Macaca fascicularis: one gene and its partners. The protein of the gene in region 6 purifies or fractionates together with the protein of the main gene of each other region. This does not show direct contact. Links are inferred from orthologs where the notes say so. Each region holds a gene or a part of one and is shown on either strand. Other genes may lie near its edges. The genes, in order: NUP98, NUP107, NUP160, NUP43, NUP133, SPAST and NUP85.

Region 1 (3,500 bases), on a different chromosome or scaffold from region 6:
CTGTTGAATCGCAGGATTCTTTTTTTTTTTTTTTTTTGAGACGGAGTCTTGCTCTGTCACCCAGGCTGGAGTGCAGTGGCTGGATCTCAGCTCACTGCAAGCTCCGCCTCCCGGGTTCACGCCATTCTCCTGCCTCAGCCTCCCAAGTAGCTGGGACTACAGGCGCCCGCCACCTCGCCCGGCTAGTTTTTTGTATTTTTTTAGTAGAGACGGGGTTTCACCGTGTTAACCAGGATGGTCTCGATCTCCCGACCTCGTGATCCGCCCGTCTCGGCCTCCCAAAGTGCTGGGATTACAGGCTTGAGCCACCGCGCCCGGCCATGAATCGCAGGATTCTTTACATTCTGGCTATTAACTTCTTATCAAATATGACTGGCATATATTTTCTCCTATTCTTATAGGTTGCCTTTTCACTTGTCTTTTGCTGTGCAGAAGGTTTCGTTTGATAGAGTATCATTTGTCTATTTTTGCTTTTGTTGCTTACACTTTTTGATGTTGTATCTGAGAAATCATTGCCAAAACCAATGTTATGAAGCTTTTCCTCTGTGTTTTCTTTTGAGAGTTGTACATTTTTGGATCCTATACTTAGGTATTTTATCCATTTTGGGTTAATCTTTGTATATGATGTAACTTCACTCTTTTGTATGTGGATATCCAGTTTTCCAGCATCCTCTGTTACAGAGATTGTCTTCTCCCGATCAAATATTTTTCTTTTTGTTTTTTTTATGTGTGCCCCACACCACACTCTACCCCCAAGTAATTTTTATACCTTACTGAAAATCATTTAAGGGTGGGCAAGGTGGCTTACACCTATAATCCCAACAATTTGGGAGGCCAAGGCAGGCCAAAAACTTCAGCTCAGGAGTCTGAGACCGGCCCGGGCAGGCAACATGGCAAAACCTCATCTCTACAAAAAATACAAAAATTAGCCGGGCATGGTGGTGCATCCCTGTGGTCACAGCTATTCAGGAGGCGAAGTGGGTGGATCACCTGAGGTCAGGAGTTTGAGACGAGCCTGGGCAACATGGTGAAACCCTGTTTCTACTAAAAATACAAATATTAGCTGCACATGGTGGCGGGCACCTATAATCCTAGCCACTCTGGAGGCTGAGGCAGGAAATCACTTGAACCCAGGAGGCAGAGGTTGCAGTGAGCTAAGACTGCACTCCAGCTTGGGCAAAAGAGTGAAACCCTGTCTCGAAAGAAGAAAGAAAGAAAAGAAAGAAAGAGGAGAAAGGGAAAAGAAAAGAAGGGGAAGGGGAAGAGGAAAGGGAAAGGAGGGGAAAGGAAAAGGAAAACAAAAAAGGAAAGCAAAGCAGAGCACAGCACGGTAGAGCAAAGTAAAGCAAAGCAAAGGATCGATCGATCTGCTCAGATTTTCTATCTCTTCCTGATTCAGGGTTGGTAGGTTATAAAGATAAATGATTTTTAACTACAGACCTTTCACTTGACTAAAGAGATATTATATTAGAAGCTAGGCTCTCACACTAAAATAGAGAGTTAAGTATAGCCACAGCAGAAACAGGAATAAAGCAAAACACTATTAAAAAGAGTTTTTGAAATTAGCAGTTGGACCCAATAAAATCAGGGAGGCTGGGCACAGTGGCTCACACCTGTAATCCCAGCACTTTGGGAGGCCGAGGTGGGAGGATCACTTGAGGTCAGGAGCTCAAGACCAGCCTGGCCAACATGGTGAAACCCTGTCTCTACTGAAAATACAAAAATTAGCCAGGCATGGTAGTGGGCGCCTACAATCCCAGCTACTTGGGAGGCTGAGGTAGGAGAATCGCTTGAACCCAGGAGTTGGAGGTTGCAGTAAACTGATGTTATTCTGCTATACTACAGTCTGGGCAACAAGAGCGAAACTCTGTCTCAAAAAAAAAAAAGAAATGAAATAAAATAAAATAAAATAGAATCCAAGGGATGTAAAAAAAAAAATTAAAAAAATAAAATCAGGGAAAAGGAGTTCAAAATCATAACACAGCATTTCTTTGCCATTTATACTTTTAAGTCAGAGACAATATATGTACTCTACTAAGGAAAGCAAGCTACAGAAGCATACATCTAAACACATTTATGTTGACAGAAAAAAAAACTATGATTTAGCTGATAATTTTCTGATATACATAAACTCTTACCTATTTAGCCCTTCACCCACAGGCGGTTTTTGGTTATCATCTAAGTAGACAATTACTTCTTTCCTTCGGATATGCACAATATCATCCAAATTTAGATTTGTCAAATTCACATCTCCTTCGAAATAGATTGAACCATAACCTATAAATCAGAGCAAATAGTTAAAAATTCATTCTGTATAAAGGCAAATACCTACTTTACAACTATAGTGATTAAACAATCACAAGGAGAAGACAGTTTTAAATATTAGTATTTTAAATCATCCAGCAATTCCTAGACTGGTAAGAATGGGGACTTAGGGAGTAACTTCAATTATGTTGTTACCTGATTTAACATCTGTATTTCTCTTTTCTTTTTTCTTTTTTTGGCGAGGTCTTGTTCTGTTGACCAGACTGGAGTGCAGTGGTCCTGGCTCACTGCAGCCTGAACCTCCTAAACTAAAGCAATCCTCCCACCTCAGCCTCCTAAGTAGCTGAGACTACAAGTACTTATCACCATGCCTGGCTAATTTTCTTTACTTTTTGGTAAAGGTGAGGTCTCACTATGTTGCCCAGGCTGGTCTGGAACTTCTGAGCTCAAGTGATCGTCTTACCTCAGCCTCCCAAAGCGCTAGGATTACAGGCGTGAGTCACTGCGACAGGCCTAACATCTGCATTTTTATAAAACTTCCATTAGCCTCAAAACAACCTTCTTAAATCTCTTCCCATCTATCTACAATGCTGTTACATAAACAAACCTTTGTACTTGACCTGGCATATGGCTTAAAATGCCTGAGCTCTTTTTAATACAATATAGCACAGTGACATTTCCTACGACATTTCCCTAAGAAAATTATCAGTAATAACTTAATAACATGAAGTTGATGCTAAGTGTTACACATCTCTTGCCTACTATTCAATTTTCTCAGTAGTTCTTGGTATTTCCAGTATTTTCTTTAATTACAGAAGATTAAAATGACCCAAATAGTTACTAGCACCAAACAGGTATATCTAAGCCCAAAGAATATTATATGGCTCTGTGCTTCTCAGGAGGCTGAGGCAGGAGAAATGCTTGAGCCCAGCAGTTGAGATCTGCCAGGTAATGTAGCAAGAACCCATCTCAACAGAAAAAAAAAAAAAAAAATTTTTTTACATGGTTCCAGTCTTTGTTGTTTTATTACTTATCAATCAAAGTATCTAAGATTCAGGCCAAGGTGGGCCCAAATGTAGGAAAACACAGATTCAGCTACCAAAAGCTTCCCCTAATTACAAAAATAAGGTGCAACTCTCTGGCTTAATCACTAAATGCTAAACTCACACTTACCTTTCCGACCAATAGTGAAGTCAGAGACAATGCACTCTCCTTTTTCATTGGTAATTTTAGCA
Region 2 (3,500 bases), on a different chromosome or scaffold from region 6:
TTTTTTGTATTTTTAGTAGAAACGGGGTTTCACCATATTGGTCAGGCTGGCCTCGAATTCCTGGCCTCATGTGACCCACCCTCCTTGGCCTCCCAAAGTGCTGGGATTACAGGCATGAGCCACCGCTCCCGGCTAGAATTACAATTTTCTAATTCACATACAAGTGACATGTGTTAGCAGGAGCCTTGAACAGTGCCCTACGTCATCGACCATATAGGAGTATTAGGCTCAACAAAGGTGATTAAAATGTTATTAATCATTTAACTGTTCAACAAACCTCTTTTCTGGATTAGTTTTAAAGAAATAATTGAGACTGAATATTGATTTTTAAATCCCTGATGAAACAAAATGGCATATCATTCATTGCCTTCCATCTCAACTCCTTTTTTTTTTTCTGAGACAGTGTCTCACTCTGTCACCTAGGCTGAAGTGCAGTGGCACGATCTCGGCTCACTGCAACCTCTGCCTCCTGGGTTCAGGCCATTCTCCTGCCTCAGCCTCCCCAGTGGCTGGGACTACAGGCATGCATCAACATACTGGGCTATTTTTTTTGTATTTTTAGTAGAAATGGGGTTTTGCCATGTTGTCCAGGCTGGTCTGAAGCTCCTGACCTCAGGTGATCCACCCGCCTCAGCCTCTCAAAGTGCTCGGAATACAGGCGTGAGCCACCACGCTTGACCTCAACTCCAATTTTACGAGACCCCAGACTATTTTGTGGCTTTCACTACCTAATCTACTTAATTAATAATTAGAATAGCAAAGATTTATATATAAGTAAAGCATTGAAGTCTTTTCAAAATTTAAGTGACACTTAATTAGCATTTTACAACATTAAAATTTTATCTTCAAAAGAATCAGCATGAATCAGATGAGAAAGGTTTTGCCAGAGGAACCTGTGGAAGGTTTAAAACAAGTCAAGGGAGTTCTATTATGAACGTTAGGATAAAAAGTGGAGACTCGGCTGGGCACAGTGGCGCACACCTGTAATCCCAGGCACTTTGGGAGGCCAAGGAAGGTGGGTCACCTGAGGTCAGGAGTTCAAGACCAGCCTGGCCAACATGGTGAGATCCCATCTCTACTAAAAATACAAAAATTAGCTGGGCATGGTGGCAGATGCCTGTAATCCCAGGTACTTGGGAGGCTGAGGCAAGAGAATCTGGGAGGCAGAGGTTGCAGTGAGCCAAGGTTGTGCCATTGCACTCCAGCCTGGGCGACAAGAGCAAAACTCTTTCTCAAAAAAAAAAAAAAAAAAGGTGGAGACACAGTGACTCATGCCTGTAATCCCAGCACTTTGGGAGGCCAAGGAGGGAGGACAGCTTGAGGCTAGGAATTCAAGACCAGCTTGGGCAACACAGCAAGATACAGTCTCAAAAAAAAAAAAAAAAAAAACCAGTCAGGCATGATGGCGTGTGCCTGTTGTCCTAGCTACTGGGGAGACTGATGCAGAAGGACTGCTTGAGCCCAAAGGTTTGAGGCTGCAGTGAGCTATGATCAAGCCACTGTCCTCCAGCCTGGGTGGCAGAGCAAGATGTTGTCTCTAAAACAACAACAAAAAAATAAAGTGGAGACATTTGAGATAATTACTCCCTCAGTAATAGTGGCAAATAGGGGCTCAAATTTAGTTCACTGTCCCGCCTCTATTCTTTTTCCTTCTGGTCAGAGAGGCTAAAAAAAAAAAAAAAAAAAGCAGCAGCTAAAATTAAAGAAAAAGTATTAAATAGATGAGAGTATGAAGAATAGCAAAAGGAAAGATATCAAGAACACTCCTATCATTTTCTTTGTTCAAAATAATACATCGAATATCCAAGAAGCCAGCATTTCCAGTTCTCAGACAGCTCATCAGGTCTACAAAGGATAAACTAAGCTACTCATTGTTTCTGTCATGCACCAGGGTCAGGCTGCAATGTCTTTCCCTTCTATGACTATTATCTCAGTATCCTTCCTTTCCCCATCTCAGCTCATCCAAATTCTACCAGTATGTTCAAGATTCAGTTAAATGTTATACATTTCAAGCATACTTTCCAGTTCCCTTTCAGGTGGAAACAATCTTTTCTTTTCTGGTACTCAGAAAATACTTAACTTGTGCCTTTCTTATGGCACTTAATACTTCTGTAACTGGTTCTCAACACAGGCTATATATTACATTAAAGCACTCCAGGTGATTAAAAAAACAAAAACAAACCCCTGCCCTACCTCAGACCAATTACACCAGAATCTCTGGGAGTAGAACCCTGTAGTATTTTTTAAAAGTTTGCCAGGTCATTAAAATGGACAGCCCAGAGGTGAGAGCCCCTACCTTAGCTATGCCTTACTGATACTACTCGAGTTATCTTTATATCTGTAAATGGAGTCACATACATGTATAATTAAATTTTTAGCTCCAGAATTTTTAAAAATTAGATTTTTGTATCCTGTGTGAACACAGTAAATGTGAACTAACACTTTATCCAAGAATCAAATATTCCCATTCCCTAGCTAGTATTTTCAGTTTAGCTTAAAATATGGGATTTAGCTATATCTACAATTATGTAACATCTGTAGATGCTTCCATTTAGAGACAGAACATTTTTAAAAAAACATGGTGACTGTTTCGGTTTTTGGCTATAAACAATGCACACAGCTTACCTCTCTAACATCCACCATCCACCCTCCATCAACAAACAACAAGACGTTATACATTTTCTCCTTCACATCAGCAGTTAGGGCATCCAAATGCCCTTTCCAAATACCAAAATCCATCTGCAAAACAAACACAAGGCAGACATATAATGTATAAAACCCAATAAATAATGTATTTGTAAAGTACAGACAGAAACATACATATAGAACATCATTCTAAAGAGTTGACGTTTCAGTCTGCCAAATACAAAAATAAGTATCAACAGACTGCAGTTAAATAAAATGCTAAAATGTTAACTTTGTAAATGAATGTTCATGTCACCTGAAGGCATTTTTCATGTTTGGTTAATTACCTACAGAACAGTAACTAAACAGATTGTGTCTCCCAAAGCAGGACATTAACAGGAAGATTACCTGTTATGATAGAAAGATAGTGCTGAAGAAATGATCTATTTAAATATACAACATACATTTATAAGATGCAATAGGCACATCCCAGATCCATATTTAACTTACTTCATATTTCCTTTCTTTGTGTTCATGAGCCACTTTCTCAGTAAAAGTTGGTTGAGGTATCAAAGTAGGTTTTTGTGGAACTGAATTCATATGCTTAAACCACTCATTAAAGGTTTCATGGGCTTCCTAAAATGTAAAATAAAGAACCAAAATATAAAATAACAAAAGTTTTCACTTTTATCGTTTCACCAAAATTTTTAACATTTGATTCTTAGAAATAATTTTGCAGCATCAAGAAATAAAAACTGTTAAATATATATATTTTTTGCCTCCAAAAATTCATATCATGAATAAATGTTTTGTCAAGTGACAAACAAGGTATATATATTGTGTTTTCTGGCATCTTCTCCAATATCAGCACCCTG
Region 3 (3,950 bases), on a different chromosome or scaffold from region 6:
TCTTACCCTGTTTCCCAAGCTGGAGTGCAGTGGCATGATCAGATCCTCCCGCCTCAGCCTCCTGAGTGGTTAAGATGAAAGGCACATGCCACCCCGCCTGGCTAATTTTTAAAAATCAGGCCGGCCATGGTGGCTCCGCCTGTAATCCCAGCAAGTTGGGAGGCCGAGAATGGGGCACTGCTTGAGTTCGGCAGTCCAAGACCAGCCTGGGCAACCAGGCAAAACCCCATCTCTACAAAAACAAATAGAAAAATCAGCTGGGCATGGTGGCGCATACCTGTAATTGCAGCTACTTGGGAGGCTGAGGTGGGAGGGTCACTTGAACCCAGGAGGCGGAGACTGCAGTGAGCCATGATTGCACCACTGCACTCCAGCCTGGACAATGGAGCCACCAGACTGTCTCTCAAAAAGAAAAGAAAAAAAAACAGAAAGAAAAAAGAAAAAAAATTGTAGAAATGGGGTCTTGAACTCCTGGCCTCAAGAGATCCTCCCACCTCAGCCCCCCAAAGTGCTGGGATTACAGGTGTGAGCCACTGTGCCCAGCCAAAATATTTAACTAAATGAAATTTGTATCTCTAACATAAAGTCTCTCTTTTGAGCCTTAGACCTGTAAATTTCAATGCCTACTTGACATTTCCAAAGGGCTGCTCCCCAGGTACTTCAAATTTACTATGTCCAACAGAATTATTCATATCTTTCCAAAATCCATCTTCTATGGATCTCTGTAAATGGCAACCCCTCCCCACTCACATCTGGTTAGTCACATGAGACACCAGGGAGCTGTCCTTGTTCTCTCCTTTTCTTTTACCATCCCTTACCCCATATTCAATCCACCACCAAGTCCTAGTGAATCTATCTTCCAAAGGTATCTTGAATCCATCTACTTTTCTATTTCTATTCATTCCCACAATTGAACCACCAGCAACCCTTACTTGGGCCATCATAAAAGCAAACTTTTTTTTGCATTATACCCATCTAATCCAAATCCACTTTCCACAAAGTAGACTGAGATCTTCTAAAAATACATTTTAAAAAATTTAGATTCAGGGGTACATGTGCAGCTTTGTTACATGAGTATATTGTGTATATATTCCTATCTACATGAGGTTTGGGCTTCTAATGATCCTGCCGCCCAAGTTGTGAACACAGTAACTGATAGGTTTTCCAACCTCTGCTCCCCCGCTCCTTTTGGAATCCCCAGTGTTAACTGTTCCCATCCAAAAATGCAATTTTGATGTTAGTAACTCTTTAAAAACCTATTCCATTATTACTCAATGTACTTAGGATAAAATCCAAAAATCCTTAAAAATGGCCTAAGGGTCCCTCATGGTCCGAGTCCTGCCTACCTCTCCAGCCTCAGTATCTCACATTACTTTCTGTTTTACCCACTGCACTTAAGCCACACAGATCTTTGGTCAGTTCCAAACCTGCCACATTCTTTCCACTTTGTGACCTTTGCATATGGTGATCCTGCTTGCTGGACTCCTCTCTGTCCACTCCCCATACCTGGCTAACCTCGTGTCCTTTAGACCTCAGGGTAACTGTGAAAGCCTTTTCCTGCCCCACTAATAACATTTGGTCCTCTCATTAGCCTCTCGTAACCCCTGTATTTTTCCTCTAGGGCAAGTTTTCCTCCACAAAATTTCCCCATGAAAAGTGAGTCCACAACTATTCTGACATTGCTACAACGTCTTGCATGATGAAGATGGCAGTTTTGTTCATTTCGTCCTGGTACCTAGCACAATGCCTGACATATTGAAGCTCGAACATATTTGTTCAATGAAGGAAGCTGTAAAGCACTATAAAAACATAATGGGTTCATGTTTAAAACTAGTCTTATGGGCTTTATACCCCTAAGCTACATTCCCTCTGCTTTTGGTGTTGCTTGGTGTGTGTGTGTGTATTGGTGGGGGGGGAGGGTAAACTCTTCTAGAACTGTGTCTCAGTTTTCCCGACTCTGATACGAACTGAAAAAAAAAAACTTTCTCTTTCCCTAAGTGTCGATTACCGCTTCTAGAATAGCACTTTGGGAACAGCAACTAAAATTTACACACCAAACCCTACCTTCCAGGGGAGTTTGGCGAACCACAGCACTTACCAATGAATGAACCTGTTTCTGGTTACGGAGAACAACTTGCCACTCTCCACATAGTAAAAGCCTCCCGCGCTCTCACTGTATTTTACGGCGCCAGCCACGGCATTTGCGGTCCCTGCAAAATGAACGTGGTCAGCCTGCACACGCGTCTTCTGAGAAATGACAGGGACTAAGGGACCTGATAAAGCAGAGGGTGACAGACTGACAACCCATACAAAGAAAAGAGGAAAACGTCGGACATCAAGGAATCTCTGATCCCGGGGCTGGAGGCATGTGGACTCAGGAGGATGAACCCAGCAGTCAGAGACCCTAGGACCCATGAGAGGAGCCCGAGGGGACAGATCGGATCGCGCCCTCCCTGGCCACTTCCGTACCAATGCTGCAGACTGTGAATTCCCGAAAGTGCCTCGGCCTTTCGCGCTCAGCCCCGCTTAGCTCCACGAAGCTTCGTTCCAGGGATCCCGCCGCCGCCATCTTCCCGCCGTCGCCGCGATGCCCGACGGGACAAAGGCAGGGCCGCGCGGCCGCCGTCACTTCCGGGGGCGGGGCGGGCGGAGCTGCGGACGGGTGAAGCATCCCGGGAGCAGAAAGGGGGCTCCGGTCCTTCGTTGCGGGGCTTCCACCGGGAGAATGAGGATGGGCAGCGGGGAATCCAGAAGAGAAGCGGGCAGGGGAGGCCGACTGTATCTGCTGGAATCTTCGAGTGGCCGGCTGGAACGCCTCCGGAGGGCGGTGCCCTTTTCTCAGCGGCCGCAGGGCAGGGGGCGGGACCGGGTTTGTTTCTGTTTCCAAAACGCGGGGCTCAGTCTCCCAGGAGGGGCGAGGTCCGGGGAGGTCCGGCCTTTGGGCGTCCTCTGCCGGATCCCGGGTGTTTGGTCACCTCTCCCTCGGTTAGGGTGTCCGTCTGTAAATCTTTGCCGATCCTCCCTTCGCTCTTCAGTGGCACTTGGGTTGGCGGGGTGAGGAAGGGGTAGTGAGGGAAGGGCCTTTGGTTTTGGTCTTTTTTCCCCCCAAGAGACTGTATTCGTGTATTCCTGTATAATGAAACGTAATGTGGTAAACCTTGATGCTGCCACCTGCTGAGGTTACCTGAGTGCTACTCACTTGGATACGTGAAAAGAATTTGCCATTCATTCCAACCGTGATCTTGCACTTGGCTGTCAATGCAATAAGGGCCCATAGTGGATGTTTAGAAGATATTGTGGGGGTAGATGTTCAAAATCGGGGAAAATGCTAATCTCCAGCAGGGAAGGTTTTGTTCCTTAGTGATAGCCAACGCTTGTTGGTCACTTCTATTACCAGTGACCACAGCCATTCCCTGTCATTCTCCGTTTCATTTATCTGGTTCCGACCATCATTTCCTATCTTTCCACTTCACTCCCTCTGGGACACCAACTTTGGCAGTGCAGCCCCCTCATTCTACCTGAAATCCATTGTTATACAAGCTCTTCACTGTCCCTCACTTCTTTGGTGTTTCTTCCTTATCCTGAATACCATTAAATTACTTCATTGCCTAACTCTTCATCAGTAAAAACAACTTCGATTACATTCAAATCTGTAGCTGAACGTGCCTGAAGAAAACTATACACCAAGGTCGGGTGTGGTGGCTCACGCCTGTAATCCCAGCACTTTGGGAGTCCAAGACTTGAGGATCACTTGAGGTCAGGAGTTCAAGACCAGCCTGGCCAACATGGTGAAACCCGGCCTCTACGAAAAACAGAAAAATTAGCCGGGCGCAGTGGCTCACGCCTGTAATCCTAGCACTCTGGGAGGCCGAGGTGGGCAGATCACGAGGTAAGGAGTTCCAGACCCGCCTGGCCAACATGGTGAAACAGTGAGATACAAAAAATTAGCC
Region 4 (3,994 bases), on a different chromosome or scaffold from region 6:
TTCTGCTTGTTAAAGACTCAGAAATACTAGCAGGGAGGAAATCTATTCATTTATTTAACTCAATTAGTAGCAAATGATAACAATTTTAAAAAGCAAAGAGCCTATGAGTGCTAAGCAAATAACATGTGTTAATGGAGCTGAAAGTCCAAACTGCCATACAAAGCATTTTCATGAATAAACAGTATTTTTTTCCTAGACACATTTACCCGCCATTGATTTAATTTGAGACCAACACAATAAAACGTTAGAAAAATACCATTCCTGGCTGGGTGCGGTGGCTCACGCCTGTAATCCCAGCACTTTGAGAGGCCTAGGCGGACAGATCGCTTGAGTTCAGGAGTTCAAGACCACCCTGGGCAATGTGGCGAGACCTCGTCTCTACGAAAATACAAAAATGAGTCGGGGTTGTGGGGAAGCGGAGCTTGCAGCGAGCCAAGATCGAGCCCCTGCATTCCGGCCTGGTTGACAGAGCAAGACTCAGTTTCAAAAACAGAATAAAAATTTTTAAAAAGAAAAGCCAGGCGCGGTGGCTCATGCCTGTAATCCCAGCACTTTGGGAGGCTGAAGCAGGCAGATCACGAGGCCAGGAGTTTGAGACCAGCCTGGCCAATATGTTGAAACCCCGTCTCTACTAAAAACACAAAAATTAGCTGGGCGTGGTGGCAGGTGCCTGTACTCCCAGCTACTCAGCAGGCTGAGGCAGAAGAATCGCTTGAACCCAGAAGGCAGGGTTGCAGTGAGCCGAGATAGTGCCACTGCACCACTCCAGCTTGGGCGACAGAGCAAGACTCCATCTCAAAAAAAAAAAAAAAGAAAAAAAGAAAGGAAAAATATTGTCCTGGCATGGTGGCTCACGCCTGTAATCCTAGCACTTCAGGAGGCCAAGCCGGGTGAACCACGAGGTCAGGAGTTCAAGACCAGCCTGGCCAACATAGTGAAACCCCATCTCTACTAAAAACACAAAAATTAGCCAGGCATGGAGGCATATGCCTGTTGTCCCAGTTACTCAACGCTGAGGCAGAAGAACTGCATGAACCCAGGAGGCAGAGGTTGCAGTGAGCTGAGATCGTGCCACTGCACTCCAGCTCAGGTGACAGTGTGAGACTCCGTCTCAAAAAAAAAAAAAAAAAAAGATCTTTCCTAGGGCTAGATAGCTTTCTTCTCTTTCTTCTCTCTGTCTCTTTTTCTTTCTTTTTTTTTTTTGGGACAGTGTTTCGCTCTTGTTGCCCAGACTGGCGTGCACTCAGCTTACTGTAACCTCTGCGCCCAGGTTCAAGCAATTCTCCTGCCTCAGCTTCCCGAGTAGCTAGGATTACAGGCGTACACCAGGGCTAGGTAGCTTTCTATAGAATAAAATGCAGGGGCTCTCCACACCAGGATTTGAAAACTTAATTTCGGCCAGGCACAGTGGCTCACTCCTGCAATCCCAGCACTTTGGGAGGCCGAGATCAGGAGTTCAAGACCATCCTGGTTAATATGGTGAAACCCCGTCTCTACTAAAAATACAAACAATTAGCCGGGTGTGGTGGCCTGTGCCTGTAGTCCCAGCTACCTGGGAGGCTGAGGCAGGAGAATCGCTTGAATCCGGGAAGTGGAGGCTGTAGTGAGCCGAGATCATGCCACTGTACTCCAGCCGGGGAGACAGAGTGAGACTTCACCTCAAAAAAAAAAAAAAAGAAAAAAAGAAAGCTCAATTTCATCCCCACCACTCACTACTGGTTTTGAGACTTTGGCCAAGTTAAGTTCACTAAATCGTGGTAAATCTTTAAAACGGGAGCACTAATCTCTGCTTAGGGAGTTGTCATGAGAATTCAAAAAACAAAATGATGTTAATCCCCCTGCACAGTATCTGTCACATAGTACATGCTTAAGATATGTTAGTCTCAATTTTCTCATTAGTAAAACAAAGTAACAATACTTGATATACCGGCAACCAATAATAATTAATTTTTGTAAAGCTCCCCAAACGGTACTTAGCACATAGTCGACGGTCAATAAATAAAAAAGTATGATTAAATCTACATCCCCTTTCCCAGTCCTTTTTCTGCCACTAAATGGCTAAATGATGTCGGCCAAATCATAACTTACAGAGCACTCAGTTTTTTGTAAATGAGGGGTGATACAAGACAACCTTTATGATGCTCTGCTTGTTTAAATGTATTACTCAGGACTTTCAAAGTTAGCTTTTGGATGCTACACAGATTTACCTGTAAATCCATGACATCACCATGGTGTCTGATATCACACAATAATTGATGGTCTCCTTCAAACCCTCCATCAGAGTCCAAGTTTCCAAAATCTCCAATAGACCACAGTGAAACATAATTTTCCTGTAAAACAAAGAGTTTTGTCTTGAGATGACATAAACGTCAACTATCGGAAAATAAAAGTTGCGCTTCCGTCCAGAAAGCTTGCTCCAAAACATCTCAGACAAATAGTATGGTGAGTTTAAAACGTAACGAGATATGAGGCTCAGGCACACCATCACGGGTTCTGAGCTATGGCGCAACCGCGCCTGAGACAGGGTCCGAGGGACCTAGAAGTGCGAGAAAAACCAGAAGGTGGGAGTTGGCGCGCGCGCGGCCAGGGGTCAGCTCAACCGGAGGGAGGGAAGAGGCAGGGGCTCGTCCCTATCAGCAGGGATACCTCATTGTCCCAAGATCCGGTAGCAAACGTCTCCGCGGTTTGCAAACTTCCGGGAGGCAGCGGTCGCCAGCGGGTTTTGCTGATTTTCTGAGACACAAACTTCGCATAAATTTCCTCCATGCCGAAAGCAGCCGCAGCAGGCACTGCAAAAAGCAAGCACAACGCGCGCCTCTCAGCCCCGCCTCTTCCCGCGGAACCCTGATTGGATGGGACTTTAGGAGGGAGACGGTGGCTGCAGAGAGTCAATTCTCTTCGGTAGCCAGTGTGGGCACGGTCAGTATACAAACTGGGAGAACCTAGACCGAGAGGCCCATCTCCTAGAGCGACTCTGAGCAAAGGCAAGAGCGCTTTGGCCTTTGAGCAGTAGGACTTGCTCCTAATCTAAAATATCAGTATTTTCTTGTGTTCAATAATTGTGCAGTGTAAAATTTAAGAGCAAAAATAGAACAAAATCAATACAGTAGAAACCACCTTGAAACCACACCTAAGCAGTTGCAGGTCACTGCGCATAGAAAACAATTCAAAAATCCTTAAATACTCATGGAAGTACCTCGAATACAGTGCCAACCTACTATCCTAAACCTCTCCCTCTTGTCCCCCAAACAAATACTTTGCTTGAAAGTTAATACACACTGTCAGAGCCTGGAGTTAGAATTCTGAAAGACTCCAGTTTTAGTTTTGATGCCAATTGCCTAGCTTTGGTCAATTTAATTATGTGCATGATTAAGAATGAGGTTTGTGATATCTATTGTCAATAGCCCAGGAATCAGTTTTCTAGGTTCCTTCTGTGCTTTTGGTTACACCTATAATATTCTTCCCTTCCTCTTTACTCCTCAGAATCCTGCCTATCCTTCAAGGATCTGTTCTTTCCTTAACCATTTCCTGATGCCCCCAGCCAATGTTGATCTAAATCAACATCGCTTTTTTTCTTTTTGAAGACAGGGTCTCACTCTGTGGCCCAGGTTGAAGTGCAGTGGCACAATCTCAGCTCACTGCAACCTCCGCCTCCCAGATTAAAGTGATTCTCTCACCTCAGCTTCCAGGGTAGCTGGGACTACAGGTGCGTGTCACCATGCCTGGCTATTTTTTTTTTTTTTTGGTAGAGACGGGATTTTACCATATTGGCCAGGCTGGTCTCGAACTCCTGACCTCAGGTGATCCGCCTGCCTTGTCCTCCCAAAGTGCTGGGATTACAGGCGTGAGCTTGCATTTGATATCTAGGCCACTATTACATATATTTTGGATATATTCTATCGTTAGTTTTCTTAAGATGCATATTCCTCCCTAATTAGAATGTAAATCCGGCCGGGCGCGGTGGCTCAAGCCTGTAATCCCAGCATTTTGGGAG
Region 5 (3,500 bases), on a different chromosome or scaffold from region 6:
AGTAGAGACAGGGTTTCACCATGTTGGCCAGGCTGGTCTCGAACCCCTGACCTCAGGTGATCCACCCACCTCAGCCTCCCAAAGTGATGGGATTACAGGCATGAGACACCACACCTGGCCTAATTTGTTAATGTCCAAAATTAACAAATTTTGAAAACATTTCCATGATGATGACTATAACTAGAAGCCTATGACAAATTCAAGGGAGAAAATGAAAGCACTAATTCATTGTATTAAGAACTGGCAATTTTTTATAAATGATCCCTGATAAACAAACATTTTGGTTCTTACCTTACTGGCAAGATATTAATGACAAGAAAACTTAGTTGATTTGTTTACATATAAAATCAGAGGCAGAAATAAAAATAAATCTCATTAAATAAAATTAGAATATGCTAAAAATAAGCTGTTATTAAAGAACTAATTTTATAGAAACATTAAATGTGAGGTCCTAGAATTGTTTTTTAATCCTCAAATTCTCTTTATAGTCTTCTGCCCTGGCTGAATTTTTTTCTAACATTGAGCATGTTTTCCACACTGCATAATCAGAACACACAATAAAGTTTATTTCTGTTTGACATAAAAGAACAAATCAAAAGATTTTCTTACAGGATTCAATTAAACAAGTCATGTTAAGAGTAAGGATTAAAAAAAAAAAAAAAAAAAAAGTGAAGATTTAAGCCAGGAACGGTGGTGCAGACCTGTAATCCCAGCTACCTGAGAGGACTGCTTGAGCCCAGGAGTTGGAGGCTACCATGCACTATTGACGGACCTGTGAATATCACTGCACTCCAGTCCAAGCAACATAGCAAGACTTTCCCTCTTCAAAAATAAACAAACAAGGATTTAACAGAATCAGATACCATGTAAGAGTAAATAAAATAAATTTATAGATGTTCAGCTTTTTCTTCATGAATATCTGTTATTAAACATGTTTAATTGCTATTAATGAATTTAAAATTAGAAAGGCCGTCTTTCAGTTGTTTAAAAGAACTTTGATGACTATGTAACACTGCTGAATACAAACATAATCTTGCTTTGGGTAAAAAGGGGGATTTTTCTATGATATGCAAAGCTCTAAACCAAACCCTAAATCCTACCAGCTTTCTTCTTTTCTTTTTCTTCTTGTTTTAGGATGGGGTCTCACTATATTGCCTAAGCTGGAATGCAGTGGTTATTCACAGGTGTGAACACGGCACACAACAGCCTCAAACCCCTGGGCTCAAGTGATCTTCCTGCCTCAGCCTTTTGAGTAGCTGGGACTACAGGCATGTACTCATCATGCCCAGCGTGGTTTCTTCCTTACTTTCACCCTGAAATTAATTAATACCTTCTTTCTACTTAAATACAGAGATGACAATCCCTCCAAAGACCTAGAGCAGAATAAACAAACTGCTTTCTGCTAGTTGCTTCCATTCTAATTTTCCTTTAGCCAAAACTAAGCAAAAGAACAAGCCTGAGATGGCAAAGAAAATGCAACAATGTCTAGAAACAAGCTATTTTAAAATATTGCCAAGCCCTGCAGATGAAATCTGTCAAGAAATTTGACCCTGAAATGGGCCGTGCATCGTGGCTCACGCCTGTAATCCCAACACTTTGGGAGGCCAAGTTGGGGGAATCACTTGAGATCAGGAGTTCGAGACCAGTCTGGCCAACATGGTGAAACCTTGTCTCTACTAAAACTATAAAAATTAGCTGGGCATAGTGGCACACGCCTACAGTCCCAGCTACTCGGGAGGCTGAGGCAGGAGAACCACTTGAACCTGGAAGGGGAGGCAGAGGTTGCAGTGAGCAGAGATCAAGGCACTGCACTCCAGCCTGGGTGACAGAGCAAAACTGTAAATAAACAAATAAGACCCTGAAATAGTTAGAAAACTATTCAACATATTATTGCTTTGTAATTTAACCAACATAAATCTTACCTGAAAAGGTGGATTATATTGAGTGACTTCTACAGTAACTGCATCTGACATTTGGCAACCATTATCTTCTATTGTTATCAGAGAGTAATAGATGAGACACGGATTGTCTGCTGAGTGCCATGCTGCTGCCAGAATCACCAGCCCATCACTAATCAATAAGAAATAAAGATGTAAAGCCTCCCTAAAAAACAACTTAGGAGTTTCCTATAAAATTAAACATATGCTTCCAATAACCTAGCAATCCCATTCGTGGATACCTATACAAGAGAAAATTAAAAAACAAAAACAAAAAACCAATAACTATGTTCACATGAAAACCTGTGTACCAATGACTGTAGTGGCTTTATTCATAATTGCCTAAAACTGAAAACAACCCAGTGTCTTCCAACTGCTGAACAGCCAAACAAACGGTGGTATCTCCATACAAAAGAATACTATTCAGTAGTTAAAAAAAAAAAAAAAAAAAACCAAATGAATTTGAAATATATTATGCTAAGTGACAGAAGCCAGACTCAAAAAGCTTTAAACTGTATGTTCCATTTCTGTGGCATTAAGCAAAAGGCAAAACTATAGAGACAGAAACCACATCAGTGGTCTCCAGGGGCTAAGGGTGGATGGAGGGGTCGATGACAGAATGGCACAAGGGAATCTGGGGGGTTATACAACTGTTCTGTATTGATTGTTGTGATTAAATGACTAAACTATGTATCTGTCAAAATTTGTAGAATTAGGGCCGGGTGCAGTGGCTCACGTCTATAATCCCAGCACTTTGGGAGGCCAAAGTGGGCAGATAACCTGAGCTCAGGAATTTAAGACCAGCCTGGCCAATGTGGCAAAGCCGTCTCTACAAAAATTAGCCAGGCATGGTGGCACATGCCTGTCGTCCCAGCTATTTGGGAGGCTGAGGCAGGAGAACTGCTTGAACCCGGGAGGCGGAGGTTGCAGTGAGCTGAGATCACACCACTGCACTCCAGTCTAGGTGATAGAGTAACACTCCATCTTAAAAAAAAAAAGAAGAAAAAAAATTTGTAGAATTATACACTAAAGAGGGTAAATTTTTTACTCTATATAAATTATAGCTCAATAAACCGGACTTTAAAAAAAAGATCAAAACAACTATCTGATCCAGAGATTAGCAAAGTACAGCCCTCCAGTGAAACTGATCTCAAACCAGTTTTTATAAACGAAGTTTTGTTGGAAGGCAACCATACACATTCATTTATGCATTTTCTAGGGATGTTTCATGATACTATTGGTGAAATAGAGTACCTGCAGTAAAGACTATATGGCCACCAAAGCCTAAAACAGTTACTTTTGGCCCTTTACAGAAAAGGTTTGCCAATCCCTGATGTACTCAGTTATTTAAAGGTTACTCGCTTTTGTCCAGAGGAAAAACATTAAAAAAAAAAATTTTACCACCAGGCGCGATGGCTCACACCTGTAATCCCAACACTTTGGGAGGCTGAGATAGGAGGATCATTTGAGCCCAAGAGTTCAAGACCAGCCTGGGCAACACGGTGAGACCATGTATCTCTAAAATAAATTTAAAAGGCCAGGTGTTGTGGTTCACACCTGTAA
Region 6 (3,500 bases):
TATATAAGAATAAGACGTAAGAAAAAGGCAAAGGAGGTAGAGGATGAGACAAAAAGTCTTCTGTAAATGAATTACTCATTTCATACTTAAGATTACTTTAAATAACTAAAAAAATAATTATTTACAAAAAAATAAATAAAAGCTGTGAGATAAACCAAATCCAAATTACTCACCTAGCAAGTTGTGCTAGTTCTTTTTGGGTCAATGGACTTCCTTGTTTACATAACAGATTTTTAAGCAAAAGTAGTCTTGTCTGCAAAATATTAAAAAATGATCATTCAGTCTAATTTAATATCAGAATTAATGATTCTTTTTTTATTTTGAGATAGGGTCTTGTTCTGTTACCCAGGCTGCAATGCAGGGCACAATCATAGCTCACTATAGCCTCAACATCCTGGGTTTGAGCAATCCTCCCATCTCAGTCTCCCGAGTAAGTGGGATCAAAGGCACGTGCCACCATGCCCGGTTAATTTCTAAAAAAGTATTTGTAGAGACAGGGTCTCCCTATGCCACCCAGGCTGGTCTTGAATTCCTGGCTCAAGCGATCCTCTCACCTCAACCTCCCAAAATGCTGGCATTATGGGCGTGAGCCACCACACCTGGATAAAAACATAGCAATAAATATTCTGCTGCAAAAAAAAAACCAGTTTTACAGAGGTATGAATTCATCTACTATGAATTTCACCCATTTTAAGTGTATAATTCAATTAGTTTTAATACATTTATATAATTGTTTAATCATCACCACAATCCAGTTTTAGAACACTTTTTAGTTCACTCATACCTGTTTGCAGTTAATCCTCATTCCCAACTCTCACCCTGACAACCCACTGATCTGCTTTATGTTTCTAGAAATTTGCACTTTCTGGCCGGGCGCGGTGACTCACGCCTGTAATCCCAGCACTTTGGGAGGCTGAGGCAGGCGGATCACAAGGTCAGGAGATCAAGACCATCCTGGCTAACACAGTGAAACCCATCTCTACTAAAAATACAAAAAATTAGCCAGGCACATGCCTGTAGTCCCAGCTACTCAGGAGGCTGAGGCAGGAGAATCACTTGAACCCGGGAGGTGAAGGCTGCAGTGAGCCAAGATCACGCCACTGCACTCCAGCCTAAACAACAGAGCAAGACTCTGTCTCAAAAAAAATAAATAAATAAAAATAAATAAATAAATTTACCTTTTCTGCATATAAACAGAATCATATGATATGCGACATATATCATCTTGCTTCTTTCATTTACAATGTTTTGGAGTTTCATTCATAAAACTTAATATATGAAGTGAGTATGCAGCATGTATGATGGATAACAGTATCCATTAAATGAATATACCACATTTGTTTATTCACCAAAAGGAACATTTTAGATCATTTGTAGTGCTGGCTATTATTGATACTGCTGCTATAAAAATTCTTGTACAAGTCTTTGTGTAGACATACATTTTTGTTTCTCTTGGGTAAATTCCTAGGAGTGAAATTGCTGGGTCTGACAGTAAGCTTATGTATATCTTTTTAAGAAACCACTAAACTGTTTTCCAAACTAGCTGTACCATGGATTGGAAGACTTAATATTGTCAAGATGGCAGTTCTTGTTTCTGCTTTAAAACAAAAAAAAATTCAAACACAGATACATACCTCCTCATTTGGTAAAGACACATATACCCGTTTGATGAAACGCCTAAAAAAAAAAACCCAGCACTTTTAGAAATATAATTTTGAATTTAAAGCTGAAGCAGCAAATGACAGGAAAAAGCTTTTAAAATATAATATTCAAGGCATTGGAATGCATTTTGGTAGTTATCAATGCAAAAATATTTTTGTTACTCTTTTAAAACTCTAGTTAATGTTTAAAAATCCTTAATTTGGTATTGTTAGAATTAATCATTTATGTATGTATATGTTTTTAATAGCAGTAATGCTTTAAAACAAACAAAATATCTGATATAAGTAGATCTCCTATCTTCTTGAATCTGAAAAAAACTAAAATCAGCAAGGATAATAGAAACAGAAACGTACACTTCATCAACAAACTAGGTAATATTTGCGGAACTAAAATACATAAAGGTGAACTGCCTAGGGCAGTGAAAATTACACTGACAAAGGAAGACACACAAAGGATCTGCTGCTGAAGATCATGGACATGACTGTCAGAATACAGTTTTCCTCCCCAAAAGAGATAGCACACCCTAAAGGGTTATAATAAAGCCAATCCCTCCACATTTAAACAAGCATATAGGCCTGGCTCTGCAGACCATGTAAACCCTAACTGATAGCATAGGAATGGCAAGGAAGGTGAGACTGAACAAAGAAACTCTAAGACGAATTATCTTTATAAGAAGGCATCTAACAGTCTGGTGGGAAGGCAATGTCTTGCAGTGACCAATATTTTTTAGTAGAAGAATAAATCAACCCTATCTCTTATTTACACACACATATACTTCATTATTAGGTAGGGCTTCACTGTAAGTGAGGGAGGCTGCATGTTAGTTTAGAGTATACATGGACTACTCAAGATACCTATCCCTTCCCCTACAATATCCTTCCAAAACTAGGTTTTCCAAGAAAACTCTTTTATTCAAAGAAAAATAATAAGCAAAAAGAAAAAACCAGGACAGAGCTCATTAAACAAACAAAAAAAAAACCTGCCCCCAAAAAGAGCAAACAAAACACAACAAACATAAACTAGATAAAATGAAGAACATGCATGAGAAGATTTTGCCATAGAGCAAATTAAAATTATGACCAAATATCTTTCCATGAAATAAAATAATTTTAAAAGAATTTTTATTTTTTTATCCTTAAGTTTTTTTTATAGATATGGAGTTTTGCCATGTTGGTGAGGCTGGTCTGGAATTCCTGGCCTCAAGTGATCTGGCCTCCCGAAGTGCTGGGATTCCAGGTGTGACCCACCATGATGCCCAACCAAAGAACCGTTTTCTTTTTTTTTTTTTTTTTTTTGAGACAGAGCCTTGCTCTGTCCCCCAGGCTGGAGTAAAGTGCCCCAGTCTTGGCTCACTGCAACCTCTGCCTCCCGGGTTCAAGCGATTCTTAGCCTCCTGAGTAGCTGAGATTACAGGTGTGTGTAACCACACCCAGCTAATGTTTTATATTTTTAGCAGAGACAGTGTTGTGCTATGTTGGCCAGGCTGGTCTCGAACTCCTGGCCTCAAGTGATCCACCCTCCCCAAAAAATTGTTTTCTATGAAACAAGAGCCCAGTGAAATGTAAGAGCTTACGGAAATAACGTATAGATGCTCAAAGAAATAAAACAGAAGATGAAAAGTAGAATAACAGAGGTCAGGAAAGTAATGAATAAAAAACCACCAAGGAAAGAAGAGTTAGAAAAGATACAGCACAAAGGAGATTAGATACTAACCCAGTAAGAAATAAAGGCAACAGGCTTGGGAAAACAGAACAAAACAAAAAGACCTAAGAGTTTAAAAGGATTAACAAGAAAATTGCAAAAAGACCTAAGAGTTTAAAAGGATTAAGAAGAAAATT
Region 7 (3,980 bases), on a different chromosome or scaffold from region 6:
ACTAGCATCTCCCCTGGACCCCAGTCAAAACACATTTGGTTCTTCTTGGAATTCACACCTGGAATCACCTAGTAAAATAAGACATAGAAATCTAAAATGAAGAATGTTCTTCTTACTGAAGTCGTTCTATTCTTTTTTTTTTTTTTTTTTTTTTTGAGACAACGACTCACTCTGTCTCCCAGCCTGGTGTACAGTGGCACAATCTCAGCTCACTCCAATCTCCGCCTCCTGGGTTCAAGGTCTTCTACTGCCTCAACCTCCTGAGTAGCTGGGACTATAGATGTGTGCAACCGTACCCGGCTTTTTTTTTTTTTTTTCATTTTTAGTAGAAACGGAGTTTCACCATATTGCCCAGGCTGGTTACAAACTCCCGAGCTCAGGTGATCCACCCGCCTCAGCCTCCCAAAGTGCTAGGACTACAGGCGTGAGCCACCGTGCCCGCCTGGCTGAAAAACACTTTCCACCATGCCAGCCTGGCTGAAAAACACTTTAAGTGAAGAGCACAGCTGGTCCTGTAATAACATTGTATCCTTCAATAACATTTTCTTATAACACTAGTAAGAAAAATTCATTTTGTGCTGGGCACAGTGGCTCCCACCTGTAATCCCAGCACTTTGGGAGGCTGAGGCGGGCAGATCATCTGAGGTCAGGAGTTCGAACTCTTTTTTTTTTTTTTTTTTTTTTTTTGAGACGGAGTCTCGCTCTGTCGCCCAGGCTGGAGTGCAGTGGCCAGATCTCAGCTCACTGCAAGCTCCGCCTCCCGGGTTCCCGCCATTCTCCTGCCTCAGCCTCCCGAGTAGCTGGGACCACAGGCGCCGCCACCTCGCCCGGCTAATTTTTTGTGTTTTTAGTAGAGACGGGGTTTCACCGTGTTAGCCAGGATGGTCTCGATCTCCTGACCTTGTGATCCGCCCGTCTTGGCCTCCCAAAGTGCTGGGATTACAGGCTTGAGCCACCGCGCCCGGCCAGGAGTTCGAACTCTTGTTGCCCAGGCTGGAGTGCAGTGACGCGATCTCACGATCTCCGCTCACTGCAACCTCTGCCTCCTGTGTTCAAGCGATTCTCCTGCCTCAGCTTCTTGAGTAGGTGGGATTACAGGCATGCGCCACCACGCTAGGTTAATTTTTGTACTTTTTTTAGTAGAGACGGGGTTTCGCCATGTTGGCCAGGCTGGCCTCGAACTCCTAGCCAGGTGTGGTGGCTCACGCCTGTAATCCCAACACTTTGGGAGGCTGAGGTAGGCGGATCACGAGGTCAGGAGTTCAAGACCAGCCTGACCAAGATGGTGAAACCCCATCTCTACCAAAAATATAAAAATTAGCTGGGTGTGGTGGCACGCACCTGTAATCTCAGCTACTCAGGAGGGTGAGGTAGAAGAATCGCTTGAACCTGGGAGCCAGAGGTTGCAGTGAGCTGAGATGGCGCCACTGCACTCCACCCTTGGTGACAAAGTGAGACTCCGTCTCAAAAAAAGAAAGAGGCCAGCCGCAGTGGCTCACACTTGTAATCCCAGCACTTTGGGAGGCCGAGGTGGGCAAATCACGAGGTCAGGAGATCCAGACCATCCTGGCTAACACGGTGAAATCCCGTCTCTACTAAAAATACAAAACAAAATTAGCCGGGCGTGGTGGTGGGCGCCTGTAGTCCCAACTACTGGGGGAGGCTGAGGCAGGAGAATGGTGTGAACCCAGGAGGCCGAGCTTGCAGTGAGCCCAGAGGGGCGCCACTGCACTCCAGCCTGGGCAACAGAGCGAGATTCCGTCTCAGAAAAAAAAAAAAAAAGAAATGAAACCATCCCTCTACCTACCCTGAGATAAATGCATACATAAATTTTTCCTCTACTCCCTCTTTTCACAGGTAAAATGCAGATTTACTGAGGCTAATCAGAGACTCACAAGAATGTAACCATTTGCCTCCTCACTGCCTAACCTCCCTTTTTTGCCCCTCCTGCTAGTTCCTTCCTCTTTAACTACTGATGTTCCCAAAACCATCTCTGGAAAAAGCACAAGTCTCAGATCCTCCTGGGACCTGTGTTTTTTCCCGGTTGGATCCTCAACCTTAGCTAAATAAACCTTTATCGGTTGAGACCTGCCTCAGTCAGCGGTTAACAAGAGAAAGAGGGAAAACAAAAGCATTCCAAGTAGCAGAAACGGTAGGTATGTCGCACATAAAGTCCATGAATTTTTTTTATACACATCACAGATCATCCACAGTTGACATACTCTCTTCAAAGTTCAAATGGAATTGAATGCACAGCGATAAAATATGAATAGTCTCCTGAGATAATACGTTTAATAAACCTTAGGTCACACAAGCAGAAACTCAACGTGCCGCGATGCAGAGCTTAATATGGCTGGAAGAAAAACATAAATTCCTCTGCTTGGGCTGAACCCACTCTAATACCCAAGAGGAAATGCGAGGGAAGTAGAAAGGTCAGCAAGACAAAAGAAGGAAAGGGACGGACTGGGACCTTCGAGGCCTGGCTTTGTGACTGGTGGCAGAAACCCCGCGACCACTACGACCCGAGGTCGGGCACCTAGTTAACACTGCGACCTCCGGAAAGTGGCAACTGAATCAAGGGAAGGGGACGAGAGCCTCGCGGCCAGTAGGGAAGCAGACAAGCCTGAAGTAACGAAGCAGACGCAGTTCTCAACCCACAAGGGCGATCAAGCCTGTTCGGGGTGCCCTTACAGTGACTGCTGGCTCGCCATCGAGCTCCTCCATAGCGCCGAACCCCAGGCTCTGGGAAGTCGCCGGGACGTCAATGCTTCCGGCTCAGGCCTCCCGCTCAGAGCTGCCTGAGAGACAGGACCCCGCCTGGGCGCCTCCTGCAGCGCCTGCAAGCCCAAACCTTCAGTGCTGCGGCGCTCTCTTCCCTCAGCCACGGCCACCCCTCTGCGGTCCTCTGCGCGCGTCCTTCCTTCCTGGCGTCGACAGCAAGTCAGGGAAAACAGCGCCGAGGACGGACTGCACTCACAGTACCGCGCTAACGGGATCAGGCGGCGCCGCGGACACCCTGGTGCCGAGCGGAGAGAAGGCCCCCGGAGAGGGCGGGCGGGGCAGGAGGAACCCTTGGCCAGAGACGGTGCGACTGCGCGTGCGTAGGCTGGGGCGGCGGCACCTGGGTGGGAACTTGTGCCGGACTGAGGTCCCAGTAAACCTGCAAGCTTTCCCAACTCTGGGAGTCCTCGCTCCATCCTTATCTCCACCTTAGTGTCGTAGCAGCCACTTGTCCAAACCCAAACAGTCAAATGGGCTTGTGCTGGAAAGCAGTCGCCGTCACTCCCACACTAGAACACACACAAGAGGCACGGGAGGCCGGGCGCGGTGGCTCACGCCTGTAATCCCAGCACTTTGGAAGGCTGAGGCGGGCGGATCACAAGGTCAGGAGATCGAGACCATGGTGAAACCCCGTCTCTACTAAAAATATAAAAAATTAGCCGGGCGCAGTGGCGGGCGCCTGTAGTCCCAGCTACTCGGGAGGCTGAGGCCGGAGAATGGCGTGAACCCGGGAGGCGGAGCTTGCAGTGAGCCGAGATTGTGCCACTGCACTCCAGCCTGGGCGACAGAGCGAGACTCCGTCTCAAAAAAAAAAAAAAAAAAAAAGAGGCACGGGGACAAAATCGATGCTCCTGAAGGATTAGAGGCTTCTCAAGCCTCTAATCCCAGCACTTCGGCAGCCCGAGATGGGCGGATCACTGGAGGTCAGGTGTTCAAGACCAGCCTGGCCAATATGATGAAACCTCGTCACTACTAAAAATATTTTAAAAATTAGCCGGGCTTGGGCAGGGTGCGGTGCCTCACGCCTGTAATCCCCAAACTTTGGGAAGCCGAGGCGGGTGGATCACAAGTTCAGGAGTTCGAGACCAGCGTGGCCAATATGGGGAAACCCCCATCTCTACTAAACATACAAAATTTAGGCCGGGCGCGGTGGCTCACGCCTGTAATCCCAGCACTTTGGGAGGTCGAGGTGGGTGGAT

Evidence for each region.
Region 1: the proteins of SPAST (region 6) and NUP98 purify together in Homo sapiens (affinity purification with mass spectrometry; 3 studies listed by BioGRID and IntAct, counting the BioPlex papers as one, with this or other methods). This does not show direct contact. The link is inferred for Macaca fascicularis from reciprocal best matches to the Homo sapiens genes SPAST and NUP98.
Region 2: the proteins of SPAST (region 6) and NUP107 purify together in Homo sapiens (affinity purification with mass spectrometry; 3 studies listed by BioGRID and IntAct, counting the BioPlex papers as one, with this or other methods). This does not show direct contact. The link is inferred for Macaca fascicularis from reciprocal best matches to the Homo sapiens genes SPAST and NUP107.
Region 3: the proteins of SPAST (region 6) and NUP160 purify together in Homo sapiens (affinity purification with mass spectrometry; 3 studies listed by BioGRID and IntAct, with this or other methods). This does not show direct contact. The link is inferred for Macaca fascicularis from reciprocal best matches to the Homo sapiens genes SPAST and NUP160.
Region 4: the proteins of SPAST (region 6) and NUP43 purify together in Homo sapiens (affinity purification with mass spectrometry; 3 studies listed by BioGRID and IntAct, counting the BioPlex papers as one, with this or other methods). This does not show direct contact. The link is inferred for Macaca fascicularis from reciprocal best matches to the Homo sapiens genes SPAST and NUP43.
Region 5: the proteins of SPAST (region 6) and NUP133 purify together in Homo sapiens (affinity purification with mass spectrometry; 3 studies listed by BioGRID and IntAct, counting the BioPlex papers as one, with this or other methods). This does not show direct contact. The link is inferred for Macaca fascicularis from reciprocal best matches to the Homo sapiens genes SPAST and NUP133.
Region 7: the proteins of SPAST (region 6) and NUP85 purify together in Homo sapiens (affinity purification with mass spectrometry; 3 studies listed by BioGRID and IntAct, counting the BioPlex papers as one, with this or other methods). This does not show direct contact. The link is inferred for Macaca fascicularis from reciprocal best matches to the Homo sapiens genes SPAST and NUP85.

The regions. Positions count from the first base shown.
Region 1 is NC_088388.1:70,551,403-70,554,902, reverse strand, and holds part of NUP98 (nuclear pore complex protein Nup98-Nup96), read right to left. Parts: coding exon 3,439-3,500; intron 2,278-3,438; coding exon 2,139-2,277; intron 1-2,138. UniProt on the Homo sapiens protein: Plays a role in the nuclear pore complex (NPC) assembly and/or maintenance. NUP98 and NUP96 are involved in the bidirectional transport across the NPC. May anchor NUP153 and TPR to the NPC.
Region 2 is NC_088385.1:75,497,793-75,501,292, reverse strand, and holds part of NUP107 (nuclear pore complex protein Nup107), read right to left. Parts: intron 3,262-3,500; coding exon 3,136-3,261; intron 2,740-3,135; coding exon 2,626-2,739; intron 1-2,625. UniProt on the Homo sapiens protein: Plays a role in the nuclear pore complex (NPC) assembly and/or maintenance. Required for the assembly of peripheral proteins into the NPC. May anchor NUP62 to the NPC. Involved in nephrogenesis.
Region 3 is NC_088388.1:17,983,713-17,987,662, reverse strand, and holds the start of NUP160 (nuclear pore complex protein Nup160), read right to left. Parts: upstream 2,801-3,950; 5' UTR 2,672-2,800; coding exon 2,470-2,671; intron 2,211-2,469; coding exon 2,099-2,210; intron 1-2,098. UniProt on the Homo sapiens protein: Functions as a component of the nuclear pore complex (NPC). Involved in poly(A)+ RNA transport.
Region 4 is NC_088378.1:57,733,078-57,737,071, forward strand, and holds the start of NUP43 (nucleoporin Nup43), read right to left. Parts: upstream 2,801-3,994; 5' UTR 2,767-2,800; coding exon 2,647-2,766; intron 2,331-2,646; coding exon 2,208-2,330; intron 1-2,207. UniProt on the Homo sapiens protein: Component of the Nup107-160 subcomplex of the nuclear pore complex (NPC). The Nup107-160 subcomplex is required for the assembly of a functional NPC.
Region 5 is NC_088375.1:19,615,425-19,618,924, reverse strand, and holds part of NUP133 (nuclear pore complex protein Nup133), read right to left. Parts: intron 2,071-3,500; coding exon 1,923-2,070; intron 1-1,922. UniProt on the Homo sapiens protein: Involved in poly(A)+ RNA transport. Involved in nephrogenesis.
Region 6 is NC_088387.1:90,032,394-90,035,893, forward strand, and holds part of SPAST (spastin), read right to left. Parts: intron 1,678-3,500; coding exon 1,635-1,677; intron 254-1,634; coding exon 174-253; intron 1-173. UniProt on the Homo sapiens protein: ATP-dependent microtubule severing protein that specifically recognizes and cuts microtubules that are polyglutamylated.
Region 7 is NC_088390.1:81,592,508-81,596,487, reverse strand, and holds the start of NUP85 (nuclear pore complex protein Nup85), read right to left. Parts: upstream 2,801-3,980; 5' UTR 2,725-2,800; coding exon 2,692-2,724; intron 69-2,691; coding exon 1-68. UniProt on the Homo sapiens protein: Essential component of the nuclear pore complex (NPC) that seems to be required for NPC assembly and maintenance. As part of the NPC Nup107-160 subcomplex plays a role in RNA export and in tethering NUP96/Nup98 and NUP153 to the nucleus.